3 linked regions of the Tribolium castaneum genome follow. The main gene of each other region encodes a partner of the protein of the gene in region 2 in a complex. Links are inferred from orthologs where the notes say so. Each region holds a gene or a part of one and is shown on either strand. Other genes may lie near its edges. The genes, in order: GAA1, PIG-T and PIG-U.

Region 1 (6,492 bases), on a different chromosome or scaffold from region 2:
CACAACAACAGCAGCCACTGCTTCAACATCGACACCAACAGCCGAAAGTCCAGTAATTCCTCCACTGCCACAGCCGAGCACTTCAGCCACAATGGGGATGATCAGTAGATTACCGCAATTTGAGACGTTCGCTGCCATCAACATCCACCCGTCACTGTCTCAAACCGCAGGAAAACCGGAGACCTTCCAGTCGACGACCATGGGGGCGCTAGGCCAAGCCCACATGGAAGACTACTACACCCAGACAAAGCACTACCCGAGCGTTTCAGAGAACTTGCAAACGATATATCATCCGGTAATGACACCGAAACCGAAAACATTCCTCAGCTTAGACGAACCGGGACCTTCAGGGCTGCAAACGCAAAAAACGAAGACGAAACTGAGCGTGAAAAGAACAAAGAAGTCGTCGCAGATCCAGAAAAAGGGCCACTCGTGTCCCGTTTGTCAGAAGAATTTCGCCACCATTGATAAGTTAACAAAGCACCAACAGATCCATTCGGGCACGTCGCCGTTCAAATGCGAGCACTGCAAGAAGTCGTTTAGTTCAAAATTTAAGTTAGTTAGACACGTCTTGATCCACTCAGACCGGAAACCGTTCAGTTGTACAGTTTGTGAACGGACTTTTCACAGGAAAGACCACCTTAAGAACCACATCAAGGTCCACAGTCCCAGTAAAAAGGTGTACGTTTGTGAAAAAGCCGATTGCAAAAAGGAGTACACGTCGCTGATGAGCTACCGAAAACACCTCGCGCTCCACGCGGCCGAAGAGGGCAGCTTACAGTGCCAGATATGTTCGAGTGTGTTTTCAACGAAAGAGGAGATCCTCTACCATTTGAAGATTCACGCCGGGAGCCGAACCGTCAAGAATCCGAACGAAAAGAAGTTCACTTGCGAGCACTGCGACCGAAAGTTCTTCACGAAAAAGGACGTCAGACGACACCTAGTTGTACACACAGGCATGCGCGATTTTTTATGCCAGTTCTGTCCGCAGAGGTTCGGCCGGAAGGACCATCTAGTTAGACACATTAAAAAGTCACATTCGAAAAACGTACCGCCGGAAGACTTCGAAACTGCCATTAAAAGTGAGATTCCAGAAACGATCGTCAAGCCAGAATTAGTGATTAAAACCGACCCGGAGATCAAATCCGAATTTTTCGAAAGCAGTCTTTCAAATCCCGAACAAATTGATCTATCGTTTGAAGATGTGAGTAGCATATTGCAAGAGGAGACTTTCGATCCGTTGACGCGGTTTTTGGAGCCGGACACGGAGGGGAATTTAACGTTTCTGCCCTCGCCGGAGTCACAGGAAGAACTAAAAGACTTGGGAAGCACGATTTTGGAGGAAATTGGGGAACCTTCGATGATAGGAGAGAGTTTAACTGACCCTGACGAGGAAATACTAGGTCAAAGTGTTTTAAATAATCCTGAATTACAAAGACTGCTAGAACCGTCGGAAGATAAAAATTTACCTCTGCCCGGGTTTAGTCAAACTTTTCAACCTCCTCCTCCACCTCCTCCGTAATATCTTTCTACAAGATATGCATACCATAATTGTGTTCGTAAAATAGGTGGCACACAGCTAAATTATCATTGTATGGTATGTTAAGTTACCAACTGAAATTATAACCTTTTTCGATTGGCAATATTTTCACCAATTCCAAAAAAGTTACCAGGATACGTAACCAGATTCAAACATGTATTGTTCTAGTCTTGCTAAAATTGTTCTCGTCTTCTTTATTCATTTAGGCAGCTCATTAACGTGTGAATATTGCCAAAAATTAATAACGTTATTGAGATTTTACAAAAATATTGTTTATGTTGCTAAATTATTTTACGTTTGTTTCGACAATTGCACAGCTGTTTGACTTTTACTCAAAATTATGTTACAATAGAGTTTCACATAATCGGTTGAGAAGAAAAGGAGTACTTACGTGGAACGGGATAATTGAATTGTATGCTACGTGCAATTGTTATAACGATATTAGGCATAATTTGATCTGAGAAACACTTAATATGTTGTGTTGTAAATTTATATTTATTTGTTAAATTGTTTCCAAAGTTATTTACCACTGGTGCTAAAATCCATCTGAAAACAATTGACAATTATTGTATATTATTGTTATGCTATGAGAATTATTAGATATTTTCTATTGTTAAATTTTACCAATCAAGCATATCTGTAAAAAGTACTTTCACCACTTAACACGATCAAGTACAAAATTGGAAATTTCATTGACTCGTGGCTAAATTAAATTTAATTTATTATGAAACAGGTGTGATATCCAACGTAGCCAAAAGTCAATGACACACTAATTCTTTCAGTTTACATTTTCCGATACTAATGAAATAATCTACCTCATTTTGCAACAATTCATTGCTGTACAATCAGCTAGTCATAGTTGTAAGTCTATCTGTATGATGTTAAAACATAGTTTTTTATACATACTGTATATTATAAAAAGTAATATATTTTACCAATGTATATAATTATTCATATGAGTCTATTTTAAAATATGTACATTTTATTTTTATACATGAAATTATAGTATTATTTATATATTCACATCCGAGTTTATTTTAAAATTACCCCTTTATCTTGGCCACTTCGTTTGTGGCTTCAAAGGCGGGCAGTTTTAAACCGCTGGTGTTTTTTTAGACAGTTGCGTTGGTAGCAACCAAACGTCAAGTTATCTACTCTAAGGTTATGTTAATGTAAACAAAAATTATCTAAACGGCTCCTGTAATGTAATTAGTGGCTAATTTTGACTGTGAAGTTTCAATTCCAGCTCTTTTTTGGATAAAGTTTAAGTCACGATGGGTTTGCTAACAGATCCCAGTGCCGGTCAGGGAAAACTAACCAAAGCCCTTCTTAAATATTACACAAAACTATGTGTCTTGCTATACATAGGCGGAATCGGTTGGTTCTGTTCCCTTGCGTACACCCCCATGAACGCAGGGACGTATTTTTCCGAAAACGCCCTTTTGCCAGGACTCGTCAAATCAGAGTTTCGGGAAGACGCAATCGCAAAAACTTACCACAGCGAGCTTTTGGACGAAATGAAGAAATACGAAGACTCCATTCCGTATCCCTGGCTTTTAGCCAAAATGAAGCAAATTGGATTAGATACCTACACTCACAACTTTACACTGAATTATCCGCTGGGAAAACCCCAAGTAATTACTTCTAACAAAACTTGGCGGTTGAATATTTAATGTTTTTTTAGAAATTTGTTGGTAAAAACGTTTATGGTATTTTACGAGCGGCACGGGCTTCCAGCACTGAAGCTTTAGTCTTAAGTGTGCCATATAGACCCCCTTTGAGCGTCCACGCCACCACCGCACCTTCCATTGCCATAATGTTGGCATTTGCCAAGTTTGCCAATAGTATGTCGATTTATTGTTCAGGGTGCGGGGAAAAACGCAAAAGTTATGAGGGGGTGGTTTTTTAAATTAATATCGGAAAAATCTCTAATGGGTACCCATGTTTTAAATTTTTATAAAATTATTAAAATTAAATCAACGAGCATTGCAATGATGACTATTAAGACACGAGTTAGATTTAGATTAATTTTACTCTGTCGTACTATTTTTTATTTATTTTTTTTTGGTTTAGAAAATCTACATGTAGTACATGTAGTATCATGAATAAATTAATGTGTGGGAGTCCTTAGTCTAGGAATTCCTACGGCATCGCTCCTTCAAATTTTTGGCGTTTTTTTCTAGACACTTGTGTACTTGTGTATGCATTTGTCCTTCAGGATATTCTTCTAGGAGAGAAATATTGGGCCAAGGATATTATATTTTTAATTACTGAACACGAGCAGTTAGGAATGCAAGCTTGGCTGGAAGCCTACCATGGAGTAGCCTGTGGCAATGACGGTACTTTAGACCATGGTGACATTAAGGGACGTGCAGGTGCCATACAAGCCGCTATTAATTTAGAATTGCACGAAACGGCAATTAGCCAAGTGGATATCAAAATTGAAGGTTTAAATGGTCAACTGCCCAACTTGGATTTGTTTAACTTAGCCGCTAAAATGCTGCTCAAAGAGGGAGTACCGCATACTTTTAAAAACAGGCCCAACAAACACTTGAAAGATCCCGTAAACGACTGGTTTTACTCATTCCAGACTTTATTAGCCATGATTTCAACTCAGGCTACCGGGGTACACATCACTTATTGTGTGAGAAAATTTTAAGTAAAAAATTTTAGATACCAAATGGAAATCATGGCCTTTATCACCGTTTTGGCATAGAAGCCCTGACTCTTGAAAGCACCCCCTTAAAAGGGGGCAATAAAGCCGGATTCCCAATTGTGGGCCGCATTATTGAAGGGATATTCCGTAGCTTGAATAACCTTTTAGAGCGTTTCCATCAAAGCTTTTTCTTCTACTTGTTACCTTCATCAGAGAGATTTATTTCAATTGGTAAATAACTTTTTTTGCACAATTTTTTTTATACAAAGTGGTCAAAAGTAATTGTTTGTGTTGGCAGTAGTTATTTTTAGTTGGCCCTAGTGTAAACGTGATATCACATTGAATTTTGATCACTTTGTACAAAAATAAGGGGTCTAATAAACATCTGAACTTAGGGCTATACATGCCTGCTATCTGTTTGATTGCGGGGGCTCTCTTCATCAAAGCATGCGCCAATTGGTGCCAACTTCAGGAGAACCAAGCGGAGACGGAAGACGAGAAGACAAAAACCCCCGAGACGAAAAAACAAGTCAAGAGCAGCGTGAAACCGCGCGATTCGAAAAATTATTGGAAAGAAATGGAAACGCGATTCCAGACCGAAATTCAAACTCACAACCCTCCAGATCCCGATTCCGTTAACTTTATTTCAATCCTTTGCGTATTTCTAATGTCTCATGTTCTGGGGGTATTGATTATGAACAGCCCTCAGCTATTAACGACGCTAGGTGGCCAATATAATTACTCAACCGATGCGTCTTTGTTTTACGGGTTTATAGCCATATCTGTGGTGTTGCTAACAATGCCGCTTTTTATCCCCTTCAAAGCTTGCGAGAAGAGTATGTCGGTGTTAAATATTTTATCGCTTTTGGAATTAGGCACAACTTTAATTTGCGTTTCCATGAATAATTTTTCTCTGGCATTATTTTGCGCCATTATTTATGTACCGTTGGCTCTAATTATCGGGATTACGCGGTGTAGGCTATGCTCTGCCATCAAAAAAATTGTGTGGTTGCTGGCACATCCTCTAGTCGTGCTTACCGCTACCGTGTTAGTATACACATTTTTCATGTTCCCCGGTGAAAAATTCGAAGATAATTTTCATAGGGGCGTAGCGGCGACTCAACAGGCAATCGTTTTCAGTATAGTGGATTCTATGATTTATGGAAATTGGCTCTTTAGCGTCGTTACTAGTGTTTTTATTTCCAACTGGTTGTGTTTCTGGATCGTTGCGTTTGCGAAAGTGCCGCAGGACATTCCAAAGAAGAAAATCGATTAAATGTACTTTTTTTTAATAAAGTGTTGGATTTTTAATCACTTGTTTGAGATTATACACTCCATTAAACCTTTCAACCGTTTTATTAAGTTCTGGGTGGAAAATTGGGAAGCAAACTTTATAAAAGGTTGAACCTTGACACATTTCACTTGCAGCAAATGAGGGAATTCGGCTGTTTAAGATTAATTTTTCCGCTTTCACCGGCAGGAGTGGGGAGCTGTTTTCAACTATGCCAAATCGATTTTTTTTGTTAGAAAGAATGAGATTTGTTTGTTTAGAAAAACGAAAAACAATTTGCCGCTAATTAGTACCGGTATTGGTCGAAATATTTATTTTCTGAAAAATTTACCGCATATAAACACTAATAATTCTGAACATAATGTTTATTCAAACAGGTTTGTTTTAATTAAGGGATTAATTCGCAATGCAAATGATAATTAAAATACTTATCCAATATGTTATAAAAATGTTCTTGAAAATCACATTCACGCACTACTTTGGCGATAACCAGAAAAACAATAAATATATTCATTTCAAAAATGCAAAACCTGCAATTGTTCTTTACAAATAAAAGTATTTTTTGTTTATAACACATTAATTTTCACTTCAACCGTTAAATACATATTCTCATTATATTTTTAAAGCTTTTTTATTGAAAACTTTATAAATTAGTGTAATTTCTAAAAATGAGGTTTTGCACAAAAATAAAAAATCGTATACTTATTAATATTAGACTACATGTCTATTGAGAACTCCAAAACATGCACTGTTCACTTCACCTAGTAATGTACGTAGAAAATGTTGATTTTTATTTTATTTAACTAGTTTATGCGGCGTCTTTTTGCGCCAACGGCAAACAACAAACTAATAAATAAAATTAAACTGACCATAAATAAAAAATTGTGAAAAATACATAAGAATTATTAATAAAAAATTTACTACCAGGAGAAATAAAGCAATCAGTTTTGAAATTTTCATTATTGCGGCATGATTTTTCCTTTGGCGTCAGTTTTCATGTATATT
Region 2 (6,316 bases):
GATTTTATTTAATAATTTTTTAATTCAAAATTCCATTTAAAAAATATAGCGGACGACTTATGATCACATAATTCCTTCCAAAAAAAATATAGCCCCTATCTTATGGAAACGGGACGGATCTGGAAAAAATCACGGATTGAGCTGGTCCTTAACGGAAAATAAAAGACAAAACAGTACATCTCTAAAAACATACACTGGCAGAATCATAAATATACATCAAGGACAACATGTTTAATTCAATAATTTAATTATGGATAGTTAATTGTCAAAGTTATGCCACTGGCAAAAACCGCAGTTTTATTTGCCGGACTGATCCACGTGATCCTAGGCAGTGTATTTAGCAATAATCTCAACAAACTAATCATCGGTAAATGATATAAAAAATCGGTTCATAACACTTTTTGTAGATTTGACCGAAGATTGTGTAAACAATTATTACACAAGCATCCATTTACCTTATGGGACGGGGTCTTCAGACGCCCGCATCGTTTTACTGCGACCTGTCCCATCCTACACCAGAAATTGCACCATTGATATTATCAGACCACAGTTCCAAAAGAGCTGTGGTGATAAATGTATGACCATAGTGGTGGTGGAATTTTTCAATTATAAAACGTACAATACGTGTACCATGAACGGGGGCGTATTTATGGTAAAGTTGGGTGATTTGTTCAAAAGTTAATCACAAAAGTAGGTTTCTGGCAGTCTACAATTCGGAGATGTTTGTGCAGATTTGGATAGTAATCCAAATCAGACTAAAAATGAACTGCAACATCGAATGCATGCTTATGTGGTCCGTGACAGAAACTTTTCAATTAAAATTGACTTTTGGGATTTTTTTGGAACGATTAAAGTAACAGCAACTTCAGGAAAATGTATTTTTGGTGCTTTTATCGAAGAAAAATAAATAAATGTTTCAAGTTTTGGGCACTTCTGGTAACTGTTCGTCAAACGAGATTGTTTGCATATTGAAGGGCCAAGTTTTCTGCATTCATAAACTTCTGGAATGTGACGGCAATTGTAACTGCGGTACGCCGAAATTATACGATGAGTATTGCAGTAGTCAGTCTTAATTTTACCGCAAATAATTTTTATTATCCACGAATTTTGATAGATCTACATGTGCAAGAAAACATACTACTGATGATTATTTACGGAGTTTGTCTGGTGGCAGTCGTTATGTTTTTCCTCATTCAAATATTGCGTGTTTGTGTGCCAAGTGTTGCCGATCATTTCTTCGTTTTCCACGAAACCGATGAATATAAATTTGTCTTAACGTCGCAATCCTTGCCCCCACTGGACCTTTCTAATCAAAATAATTAAACAGTTTTTGAAAAAAATACGTTTTTTATTAATTATTCATCGCCATGATGTGATATAATTAATTTCCATTTGAGCGATGTTGAAGAATTGTTCACATCGTCTGCTTCATCTTTAACTGTCGGTTTAAGATGTAACTCTTGCAGAGTCAAAGTTTGACACGTCGTCACGCCTTCATATTTTTGTTCCCCTTTAGCATTTTGCAACTGCAAGTAAAATCCGCCAGTGATTCAAATCTGCAACGCAGAGTTGAAACTTACTGCATTATCTGCTTTGAGAGTACCTGTAGTAACAGGGGTGCCCTCACAGCTTATTGCATAGTCTACAGCAAAGGGCGAATCTTCCACAGAGTAAAATTCGTCAGAGGAGTGATTGAAAATCAACTCCAACTTTTTTTTGTGAGGAGTTACATTGTCCTCGCTACAACAAGTCACGTAACTGTCTGATTTGTTGTCTTGTTGTTTGTAGCGACTCATTTTAAAACAAATATCAGCAAGACTATCATGCGCTGTGCTTGTAGTTGGGGCACTTCTACTCTTCGTTGGAAAATCTGCTTTCGGTCTTTCCTCACGATCAGTGTCCAGAAGGACAGTTTCGGAACTATCGCTCGAGCAGTCCATCCTTAGGCAATTGAATTTCTGGGGATGTTTCGGAGGCGGGGGAGGTTTTGAAAATTGATGGACATGGTCTTGTTCCCGGTTTAACATTTCTTGTCTTTTTATTTGAAGATATTTGCTCAGTATTGTTTTCACAAGTTGGTCTTTTTGCTCTCTATCTTCAACACTGATGGAAGACTTTTTGTCAGAAAGGGGACTCTTTTCTGGTTCTTTAGAATCACTCTGCAGCTTTTCTAAATATGCCTGAGACAAGAGCATGTTATTGTTGGGTGCTTTATTTTGCGGCTCCGTCTCAGGATTCAACACGAAGAATGAAGAGGTCCGATAAGTAACCGAAACTTCGTGTTGAGCAGTCAACATTTTAGATGTGGATTGAAGCTGCTTTATGGCTTGTTTTGGAGCTTTGGAAGCTTTAGGTCTGTCAGGCAAACTTGCCGAATCATCGGATTCATCGCTGTTTGTTAAACAAATAAAACAATTAAGAAAACTGGGCTTTTTCGGTTTATTCTTCTTTTTCTGCTTCAATTTTTTTCTTGCCATGGCATAATGGAATTTTACATTTGACACTTTAAAACTGCCATTTTGAATGACACAAAAGTCGGATTAATTGGTCACGTGACCAAATTAAACCAATCAGATGTAGTTTGTTCTTATTCAGGGAATCACAGAGTGAATTATAAACTTGCAATAATTAAATGACTTAATTAAATTTTATATTATTACGGACCCAAACTTAATCTAACATAATAGTAGAGGAAAAAAAGTTTCAAAGAGAAATAATTCATTTTGAATCCCCTGTCAGTGTGTGGCCGCCTTTAGCGTCAATTGTCAAAATTAACTCACAAATGGTGAAGATACGTCAGTGTCGGTTAAAAAATAGCCAAAAAGTCGATTGTACATGAATAAAAACGCGATTTCCGCGTAACACTGCGTTCATAATAGCCCTTGGACGGAAATGTAAATAGCGACATGTTCCTTCCCACGCTACTTGTCCTAATATTTTCGCCATTCGGTGTCTTAACCTCAAAACCGGATAAATTCACCGAAGAACTTTTCATCAAGCCTCTGTACAGCGACCAATTGTACGTCCATTTCCACTTTGCTACCAAATGGGATACAAATCCGGAACAGGAAACATGTAAGCTATCAAAATCGTGTGAAATAATCCCTGATTGTGGTGATTACAGTCAGACACACTCATATTTTCCCCCGCGCCCTCGGCGAAATAGTCGAAAGATACAACGTACAGGAGCTCCACGTGTCGTTGACTGGCGGCTTGTGGCGCTATGAGACTTGGGGTTACCCGATTTTGGACGCTGCTCCTGGGGCTGAAGTGTGGGCTTGGTTTAAGGACACCACGGAAGATGTGGACCAGAACTGGAAGTTGCTGGCGAGCTCATTGTCTGGTTTGTTGTGCGCCAGCTTGAATTTTATAGACAAGGCCAACAGTATTAGACCCGAATACACTTTCAAGCCGAAAGGGGTGTTTTCAGGCAGTAATTTAAATTCATCATTTGTTAGGTAACTCCACACCCCTCGGAAACAATTATTTTAACTTTATTACAGATACTCGAGTCTCCCGCGCGAAATCGTCTGCACGGAAAATCTGACTCCTTGGAAGAAGCTGTTACCGTGCGAATCGAAAAGCGGCTTAGCTTCGCTCCTAAACTCAGGTTATATTCACAACACGCGCTATCACTCAGTGGCTATACATATGCGTCCGGTTTGTCGCGACAGTTCGTGCGAGTTCGTGTCGTTAGAACTGCAACAAACTGTGTCTCTTGTTTACGATTATTTAATTCTGGGAACGAAAAACTGGTCGTTTCGCAAATTATTCGGTCAGGGGTTGATGGGGCGGTGCCCATTGGCCGAAACCAGCACAATTTACATCGATACCACCAGTAATACCAGTGTTCCATTTCAATTAACCCCAAGTCCGGACGATTACGTGACGTCGATTCGTGGCGGTCATGTTAACACTTTCGCTAAATACGTAGTTAGACCGTATGCCATGAGCTTGAATGCGAATTTTTTGGGCAAGGAGAGTGTTTTATTGAACGCGCCCCCGTCTCTCCACGCCAATCAGTACATCACGGGCTATGGCCAGGAGAGAGGAGGGATTGTGACCAAAATTTACAACAACCATTGGAGTCATTTGGACGTGGTGGTGTTGCAAAATATACCATGGTACGTCCCTATTTACCTCCACACGCTCAAAATTGAGGTGAACGGCTTGGAGGCCGAGCCGTTGAAAATTCGTTACATTCCGGGCCGCCAAAGGGAGCGACCTTACCACCTTGAACTCCTGTTGAAATTGCCGGCACGTTCCGTTACGTCCGTGTCCGTCGATTTTGATTACGTGTTTCTAAAATGGCAAGAGTACCCACCTGATGCCAATCACGGTTTTTACATTGGCTCTGCAATAATTTCGGCTAATTTACCGCTTGCGCGGAATTTTACCGGTTTGCCGCAAGACGGCTCAACGATCGCTGATAGTTTCAATGCCTCGAGAAGTGGTTACTTGGTGCAAGTTCGCACCGAAAATATGGTAATTACGTTACCGACGCCCGATTTTAGTATGCCTTATAACGTAATCTGCTTAGCGTGCACCGTAGTTGCTTTAGCTTTCGGTCCGTTGCATAACATCACGACCAAAAGACTTGTCTTGACGGTCAAAGACAACGAGAAACTTATCGTCAAAATCAAGAATAAGATCGTCAAGGTTTTGACCGATAGGCGAGGAGGTGAAGAGAAACAAAGTGTTCAGTAATTGTGAATTTTATTAGTGTAATCTTTTTTTCACATCCAAAGACTAGTTTTTATAAAAATAAACAAAACAAGAGTGGAGTTGTGTTTATCACTTGACCCTTAATTCAGTCAACTAAGGGGTTACTGAGACCGGTGACTAGTAGTGTTAGTAAAATGTTATGACGCACTTTTCACCACTTGCGTGGTAAAGTTGGTAACACATAACTATAATTGTACCAAGAACAATTCTATTTTTCTACCAAACTGAGGAACGTATTAGCGAATTATTTTGTTAAAGGTTTCGTCAATAAGTACCGCCGGCACCAATCACAATTGCACAATGGCAAACATAACAACTAGGAAACCCAACCAACTCGAACGCAGAGCAGCCGAGCTGCCTTTGCCTTCCTGACTGTCCTCCCCGACTTGTGGGTTCGCCTTTGAGGTGCAAATATCACCACAGTCCTCATCCTCGCATATATCACACAGAGTTGACGTTCGGCTTCGGTAAAATTGCCTGGCACGTCTCGCTAACAACACAAAATGAGCCCAAAAATTTAAAACCAAACTTAAACTTACAACTGTCGTAATAATCGAAAATAATAACCGAGACGGGTTTTTGGTTTGCGACTTTATGTGTCCTAAAAGCGGACACTGTCGGGCAGTATTCGTTTACACTTGACACGTTGTTAAAGTAGAGGGTGACTCTAGTCAGGCCGTTGCTCGTTTCGACCTTTTGCACATTTTGGGACACTTCCAGGCTTGGCAAGGAGTCGATATCGGCGGTGAAACCCGACGGGAGGTTCACTTCCATCACTGCCATGTTGCTTTCAGGGGTTTCACTCAAATTGCGACTCACAAATCTGCGATTTTTCAATTAATCCCAGTTTTTTGACTTCTTTGATACTCACCCTGTGCAAATCGACACTTGTAAGTGGTCCTTATTCGAGTTTTTGTCCACTTGTGGGTCCAGCGTAAACATGGGCCAAGGCCCGGTTACGTTCATATTATACTCATACGAGACCCTAAAAACGGCCAAGCCTTTGCCCTGAGCCGTCACGTTTACTTCACGTATGTCTTTCGGTAGTTGGAGTTTTTGCACAATCATTGCGTTGTTTTTATTAACGTTGAAATTGTGGCGCTGGTCTTTGCCGTAAGTGAACTCAACTTGCATATTTACGTTAGTTGCCAACTTCAGGACTAGTTTATAAATGGCCCAAAGGCCCACGAAAGTGTCCTGCGATGAGGTGAAACCTCCGAGACTGTTCTGCTGGTCTAGTAGCCAGTTCAGGACAGGGATTGCGTCTTCGAAGTAATTGGCCTCAAGGAAGGTTAAAAGACCGTAGGCTGAAGTCTCGATATCGATGGAACGCGGTAATTTGTTCCAGGGATTTTTAATCTCGTTACTTGGGACGTCCTTAGACCACCATTTCAAGTTGCCTCGGCTCTTTGAACGGAGGTCAAGCAAGTTGAAAGCGCTTTGTTTCGACGGGTGACGGGCTAATTGAAGAGTGTAGCTACACAAAGCTATCGTATGGATTGATTCTTGTTCAGAAATGTACCGTGCAATGTAATCCAATCCTTTGTTAATTGTATTGCTATAAGTGGACGCATATTTCTGGAAAAAAAAA
Region 3 (5,853 bases), on a different chromosome or scaffold from region 2:
AATCGAAGTATTTGTTCCTCAATCGCCAATTAATTAATAAAAGCGTTTCCACGTGGAATAAAAGAGCTTTCTTCGGGTTTATTCTGCTTGATTCTTGATAATTTTCTCGTGTCTTAAGCTGAATGAGGTTTGGAGTTGTATGTTGAATGAAGTTTGCAGGTTTGATTCAATCCGTGACGATTTTGTTTGATATAAAATGGGGATGAATCGAAATGTACCTCAAGCGGTATCAAAGATCGGCGATTTCGAGCTTAGGGCTTCCTCTTGTGAATTTGATTTAGATTAGGTTTTTCCCTGGTTGGTAATACAGAGAATTAACGATTTAATAAGGGTAAAACAATAGAAAAGTCCGCCATCTGGAATCAGCTTTCTCCCCTTGGAATTTGAGGAATGTGGTGTTTTTCAGGCCCTTGCTACCTGCTCTTTTGTTTCACATCCGGTGGTTGGGTAAAATCGTCTCTTCGAGGGTCGAAATGTGACGCAAAGAAGCTTCTCAACTTGTATTTTAAAACGTTGTGAGATTTTTGATGAAGAAAATAATTTAAATATTGAATGCTTGGCTCGTTAAATGGAAAAGAAAAAAAAAAAGAGAAAAAAAATTGTGCTGAAATGTTGGTTGCATAAGGTGTAAAGGCCCGAATGGTCTCAATTGAGTAGGCGTTTTTTCTTTCGGAGTGAGTTCAGTGATTGGTAAACTAGTACAAATTGAGGGAAAACTAATTAAATATTACTGTTCGAAACTTTATTATTTGATTCTTCAGCTTGATTAATTAATAAATATGTTAAAAAACTAACAAAGTCTACTCTAGTTATAAATTCAAATGACAATTGAGTATAAAATTTTGACTATCAAATTTGTGAATATAATTTGACAACTCAGTCTTTAATTATCACCCCAGGTATAATATGCAAATTTCGTAAGCTTGGATCTGGTAAATTTTACTTTTTAAGTTGGTTGCTGCTCAAAAATGTGTGTGTTTTGAGGTTATGTATTTAAAATAAAAAATGACGAAATTTGATTTAAAAAAAATTCTCCTTGATGAGGAAAGAAAAAAGATTTGGAAAGAATCAGTCGACCAGGAAGAATACGGAGAAAATGTGGAAATATTTGAAAAACTCCAGAAAAGAAATTTAGAAGTGGTCACGAAAAAGAATAAACGATTTGCGAGTAAACAAACAAGAAACGTGAGCAAAGAAGGAAAAATCAGTAAAAAAAAGGCCAAAAAGTGGAGAGAAGGAAACAGTGACACAAAATGTCCGGAAGTGTGTGTAAAAGAACTTCTTTTGCTTATTCATTGTTTAGAAAATAACACACTTATTACGAGAAAAGAGGCTCAAGATTGTATAGAACGTCAAAGTTCAGCATTTGACCTCTTCTGGGACTCACCAACACAGATCTTAAGACTTGTAAGAAAATGTGTTTTAACCCAAGAATGGTCAAAGATGACCTACCTTTTACTGGTGCTTTTAAATTTTGACAGGAAATACATTAATATTATTAAAAATGTAATGAATTGTACTTTTTATTACAATATTTATAACTACTTTAATTTCAGATGGTCAAAATTATGATCAAGTTTAATCCACTAATAAGGGAAAGTGGATTAGAAAACCAGTTCAAAATGTTAGTCGAATCATCAAACAAGTCTATAATTATATAATAAATAAATAAAACAATATTTGTACAAAAGTCTTATTTATTGTGGTTAACATCTAGATCACAAATCACTCTAAAATCAGCAAGGCGTCCTTTCCATCAATCTTCCTCTCCTTGCCATGATTCAAACAAAACTCGCGCTTCAAATACGCGAACAAAATATCAGTCACAAGAAAAATCTGTGCAATGGCAAAGGCCAAAGTGACTCCGAAATAAAAGTTCGCATTTGCGGAGTTTGAATAAATCCACAAATGCCACAAAATCGGACCCAAAGCTGTCGTAATAAGAAAAATCACCCCAACTAAAAATCCCTGCTGGGAGTAATTGAACAAGTGTATGAAACAGGGCAAAAGACTCAACACGAACCCAACATCGCCCAGACACGGATACGACTTAAAAACAGAAATCAGACACAAAATCGCGAACGTTAGCAAAAACGGGTCTTTGCGAAATTTGACCGACAGTGGAATTAAATACAAAACGGTTGCGTTTATTTGAAACGAGCTGATGAACAAGTCGCGAAAGTGGTCGAACATTTCGGTGAAAAAATACCAAAACAAGCCAATATTTGGCTGCAAGTCTGGAACTGTTAGAATGAAACCGTACACGTTTTTCATAAATGCGGTTCCGTTGCTTAAACCAATCGAAATGGTTATAAAAGCCGCAAGTGTGGCGATAAACAAAATCGGGGTGAGAATCGCCCGAAATTTGCTTTTGTAAATTCCGTTAGAGTACAAAAACAGTGGGATAATTAACACAATGGGGTAGAAAGACATCATTGTGCATATTGCCAGAGACAGTACACTCAAAATAACGCTACCGCTTAACATACAGAACAAAAACAAAGCGATGAAAAAATTATGGAACACGACAGTTGACTGTCCAACGCAGTTAAAAATCGTGTATGGATTAAACAGAAACGCCGATGCGACAAAAACGGGCGAATTGACGAAATCAGAGCCCGATAACAGGAACTCCTTACTGTTCAGAGCATATTGTTTTTTATTCTCTTCTTGTTCAATAAATAAGTGAAACATGTATTTCTTCGCGACGAAATACAATACCACGGCCGTTCCCGCATCAAAGGCGAGAAAAATAGTCTTAATGTCCAACTTCCACCACTGTGTCAACACTTTATAAAATAATATTGTTATCGGAGCTTCATGAAGTAAGTCCCCTTCGTATGGATTGATACCTTTGGACTGGAGACAAAGCCCTTCGGACACTCGCTTCCAGGAGTTCAGAGGTGTAGATATTTCGATGTGGTTCGCAATTATGGACTGATATCTCGAAAACATGAGCCAATACCGGATACCAAGCCCCGTCAAGTACATGAATAAAACGGTTCCGCCTTTGTAGCAGTCTTGCTCACATTTTTCGGTTTTCCCATGTGCCATTATTTTACACTTTTCAGGGGCAGTTTTCGGAAATATTGGCGATTACCGGCCCACTAAATAATTGAATAAAGTGAGGTTAGTATCGTGACAGGAACAGGAGTGACATTGTGGCTAAAGCAACGAGCAATACAAACATGAACTAATTTGTGCTAAAAGTAAATGGAATTACATTGGCACATTTTTATTACAGTTTGAATAAAACAAAACAATGTTTGATAAATTAATGGTTACTGTACAAAAAACGTGGTTTTGTCCGCCTATAAATTAGTCAATCATGAATACGCGCGACTTGTCTCCAAGTTTCAATGCTTTTCTTCTGGCCGTTCAAAATTCAGATTGTTTGCAAAATTTTGACTCGATTTGCACGAAATTTTGCTCAAAAATAATTAATTAAGCAGGAAAAAGTGCTACTAGTCGTTTAAGGTTGACTGCTTTTTTTTGGTAGGATTGGAAAATTTGAAAAACTAGGAATCATTAAACAGCGAAGACGGATTTTGAATGCTCAGACAATTTTATGCCAAACAGGTTTACTTTTGACATCAATTTTTGGTTTTTGTGATCGTGATTAATTTTTTGATTAGTAGATAAATTAGTATACAGGTGCTCAAAAACTGGCGCACCAACTCAGTGGTACGTTATTGATAAGCAAGTGCAGATTACGGGAAAAATATTGAAAAAATTCCTAAAGTTATATTTTAAAAAATCTGGAGCTACAAACTTATTGTGTTAACTTCTTTAGTTTTCATTATTTTTTTATGTTTTATGTTTCATACCAGGTAATCGTTCCGTAACAAAACGATGAATAATTATTTTTAAATTTACTATTAGATTTTAGCAGTTTTTTTAATTTAAAAAAATTAAAATTTATCCAAAAAATCACAATGTGTAGATGTGCCAACACTGGGAATTATTTCCTAGGAAACCGTTTCAAAAATAATTTATTTTTATTGTTGCTCAAATTCTATTGCGATTATGACTGTTAGACAACGTTGCCACATATCATTTATCTAAAATCCGTTATTTATCAATAACTTTAATACAAAGAATTTTTTTACTATTTTTACCTTTATATGTAACCAGTTCTCTATCACACACCATTGAGTTGGTGCGCCAGTTTTTGAGCACGCTGTAGAGGCAAATTTTTGTTTTATTCGAATTATTTGTACCACTTCGCTTAATTGCCACAAATTTTTACCTAAAATTAAATAGTTTTCTAGTAAAATGTGTTACAAGTTGTTTTAGATTAATTTCTATTTTTTTTTAGTAGAATGGAAAAATTTAAATTGGTAGTATTTCATCTAATCGTATCCTAAAACCACGTTCCTTACAACAAAAATAAGAAGAGATTTGGGATCTTTAAAGAATTCTACGCCAAATAAGCATATTTTAATTAAATTTTTGGTTATTATAATATTGTTATTTTTTATTAATAAATAGGTGAGTAAAATAAACAAAAATTTTGACCAAACTGTTTTATTCGGATTGTTTGCACAAGTTTGATTTAATAGACAATAAATTTTACTTAGAAATAGATAATAATTAATTACTTAGTTGAAAGTGCAACAAGTAGTTTTAGATCAATTTCTATTTTAAAAAATTATTTTTAACGTGAAAAATCGGAATCGACAGTATGTCGTATAATAATATCGTTCTAGACTACGAATTATGACAAAAATGAGAACTGCATTAAAAATTGAGAATCCTCAAACACATTTACGTCATATAGGCCAAATTAATTTTTAATCAATTTAAATTGACCTAATCAATTTCCGAGTGTTGTGGTTTTGATGATCTTTTTTTATTTGTTGATAATAATAAGTAGATAGAAATTTTGACCAAGTTGTTTTATTCGAATTATTTGTATTATTTTGACTTTATTGCCAAAAAGTGTTGTTTATAAATGGATAATTTAACTAGAGAAAGTGCAACAAACCAGTTCAGAGATTTGTTGGTCGTGTATTTTAACCAAGTTGTTTCGGATTATTTGCTCAAATACGACCTCGATTTGCCAAGAGATAGATAAAAAAAACTAAGTTAAAAATACTATAATTGGTTTTAGATCCAATTTAAAGTTTTCAAGGACGAAAATAACGTATTTAGCTCGTCGTTTTATAAGTAAGAAACATTTTTTTCACATTTTATTAAATTATAACTCAGTTTTCTTTAGAAATTTTGCCCAAATATTTTGAAAATAGAAAATTAATTAATTTTTTTTTGACTTGTTCGAGCATCGTAGAATGTTTTTTAGTTTTTAATTTTTTTTTCGATTCTGATCACAAGATCAGTGAAATGTGGAATAGTTTTAAAGCAAGTAGAAAGATAAATGTAAAAAATTTAAGTTTTAGAGAGAATATTACGGGTTTTTTAAATAATAATAGTAATTGCCTTTTATTGTGCCAATTACCAACAATTAGGGCGATGTTCAGATGATTGTATTTAATAGGACTTAATTAACTAACTTAATTAATTTCGATCCATTCCGCTGATTTTTCAGCAAATTCACCAAAATTTTTAAAAAGAAAGCTAAACTTACAAATTAACATTGCTTGTTTTCGGCTTGTTTTGCAAGCATTATTTAAGGGTTGTAATATAATTATTTTTAACCACATTTTCTGGGTTCTTGGTTCATTTTTGAAGAATTTTTTTTCAAAAACAATTTAATTTTAGAAAAATAAGTAAAATAGCAGCAATTTCGACTTGATTTAGTAATTTTTCAACAACTAGTTTTAACGAGATTGAAACAGTTTTTACTTTAGAAACTTGCATAGACACCTGAAAAAAGCAAAGTAACAATTTTTA

Evidence for each region.
Region 1: the proteins of PIG-T (region 2) and GAA1 are in contact, whole or in part, in a cryo-EM structure (PDB 7W72), measured with the Homo sapiens proteins. The link is inferred for Tribolium castaneum from reciprocal best matches to the Homo sapiens genes PIGT and GPAA1. Residues at the interface, in NP_057021.2 of Homo sapiens: Gln91, Gly92, Phe93, Arg95, Arg97, Tyr98, Ser108, Phe211, His212, Thr213, Ser214, Asp247, Phe249, Ile250, Arg340, Gln355, Tyr357, Val358, Ser359, Gly360, Tyr361, Gly362, Leu363, Leu371, Tyr373, Lys441, Asp459, Pro460, Asn461, His462; in NP_003792.1 of Homo sapiens: Arg97, Ser98, Val99, Gly100, Glu102, Tyr104, Arg134, Ala135, Pro136, Arg137, Ala138, Ala139, Ser140, Thr141, Glu142, Arg171, Gly172, Gln173, Ile174, Tyr199, His200, Asp201, Val202, Leu212, Gln213, Gly214, Arg215, Ala218, Arg311, Tyr312.
Region 3: the proteins of PIG-T (region 2) and PIG-U are in contact, whole or in part, in a cryo-EM structure (PDB 8IMX), measured with the Homo sapiens proteins. The link is inferred for Tribolium castaneum from reciprocal best matches to the Homo sapiens genes PIGT and PIGU. Residues at the interface, in NP_057021.2 of Homo sapiens: Tyr361, Gly362, Leu363, Gln364, Lys365, Arg394, Leu395, Tyr396, Val397, His398, Tyr416, Pro418, Ala419, Gln420, Asp421, Arg422, Gln445, Glu447, Leu450, Leu451, Lys452, Trp453, Thr454, Pro518, Thr519, Pro520, Asp521, Phe522, Ser523, Met524; in NP_536724.1 of Homo sapiens: Glu30, Lys42, Arg43, Val45, Glu46, Ser49, Leu50, Leu53, Val55, Ser59, Gly60, Ala61, Val62, Pro265, Asp266, Leu267, Pro269, Leu273, Trp275, Tyr276, Phe277, Phe278, Ala279, Glu280, Met281, Phe282, Glu283, Phe289, Phe293, Asn296.

What each region holds. Positions count from the first base shown.
Region 1 is NC_087396.1:13,607,974-13,614,465, reverse strand, and holds GAA1 (glycosylphosphatidylinositol anchor attachment 1 protein), read left to right. Parts: upstream 1-2,658; 5' UTR 2,659-2,814; coding exon 2,815-3,174; intron 3,175-3,224; coding exon 3,225-3,384; intron 3,385-3,771; coding exon 3,772-4,166; intron 4,167-4,213; coding exon 4,214-4,427; intron 4,428-4,591; coding exon 4,592-5,472; 3' UTR 5,473-5,507; downstream 5,508-6,492. Other genes in the region: zinc finger protein PLAG1, read left to right, coding at 1-1,522. UniProt on the Homo sapiens protein: Component of the glycosylphosphatidylinositol-anchor (GPI-anchor) transamidase (GPI-T) complex that catalyzes the formation of the linkage between a proprotein and a GPI-anchor and participates in GPI anchored protein biosynthesis. Binds GPI-anchor.
Region 2 is NC_087398.1:2,633,759-2,640,074, forward strand, and holds PIG-T (GPI transamidase component PIG-T), read left to right. Parts: upstream 1-2,764; 5' UTR 2,765-2,906; coding exon 2,907-3,075; intron 3,076-3,124; coding exon 3,125-3,458; intron 3,459-3,503; coding exon 3,504-4,707; 3' UTR 4,708-4,784; downstream 4,785-6,316. Other genes in the region: CD109 antigen, read right to left, coding at 5,013-5,215, 5,265-5,548, 5,597-6,303. UniProt on the Homo sapiens protein: Component of the glycosylphosphatidylinositol-anchor (GPI-anchor) transamidase (GPI-T) complex that catalyzes the formation of the linkage between a proprotein and a GPI-anchor and participates in GPI anchored protein biosynthesis.
Region 3 is NC_087396.1:9,927,702-9,933,554, reverse strand, and holds PIG-U (phosphatidylinositol glycan anchor biosynthesis class U protein), read right to left. Parts: upstream 3,227-5,853; 5' UTR 3,055-3,226; coding exon 1,726-3,054; 3' UTR 1,680-1,725; downstream 1-1,679. UniProt on the Homo sapiens protein: Component of the glycosylphosphatidylinositol-anchor (GPI-anchor) transamidase (GPI-T) complex that catalyzes the formation of the linkage between a proprotein and a GPI-anchor and participates in GPI anchored protein biosynthesis.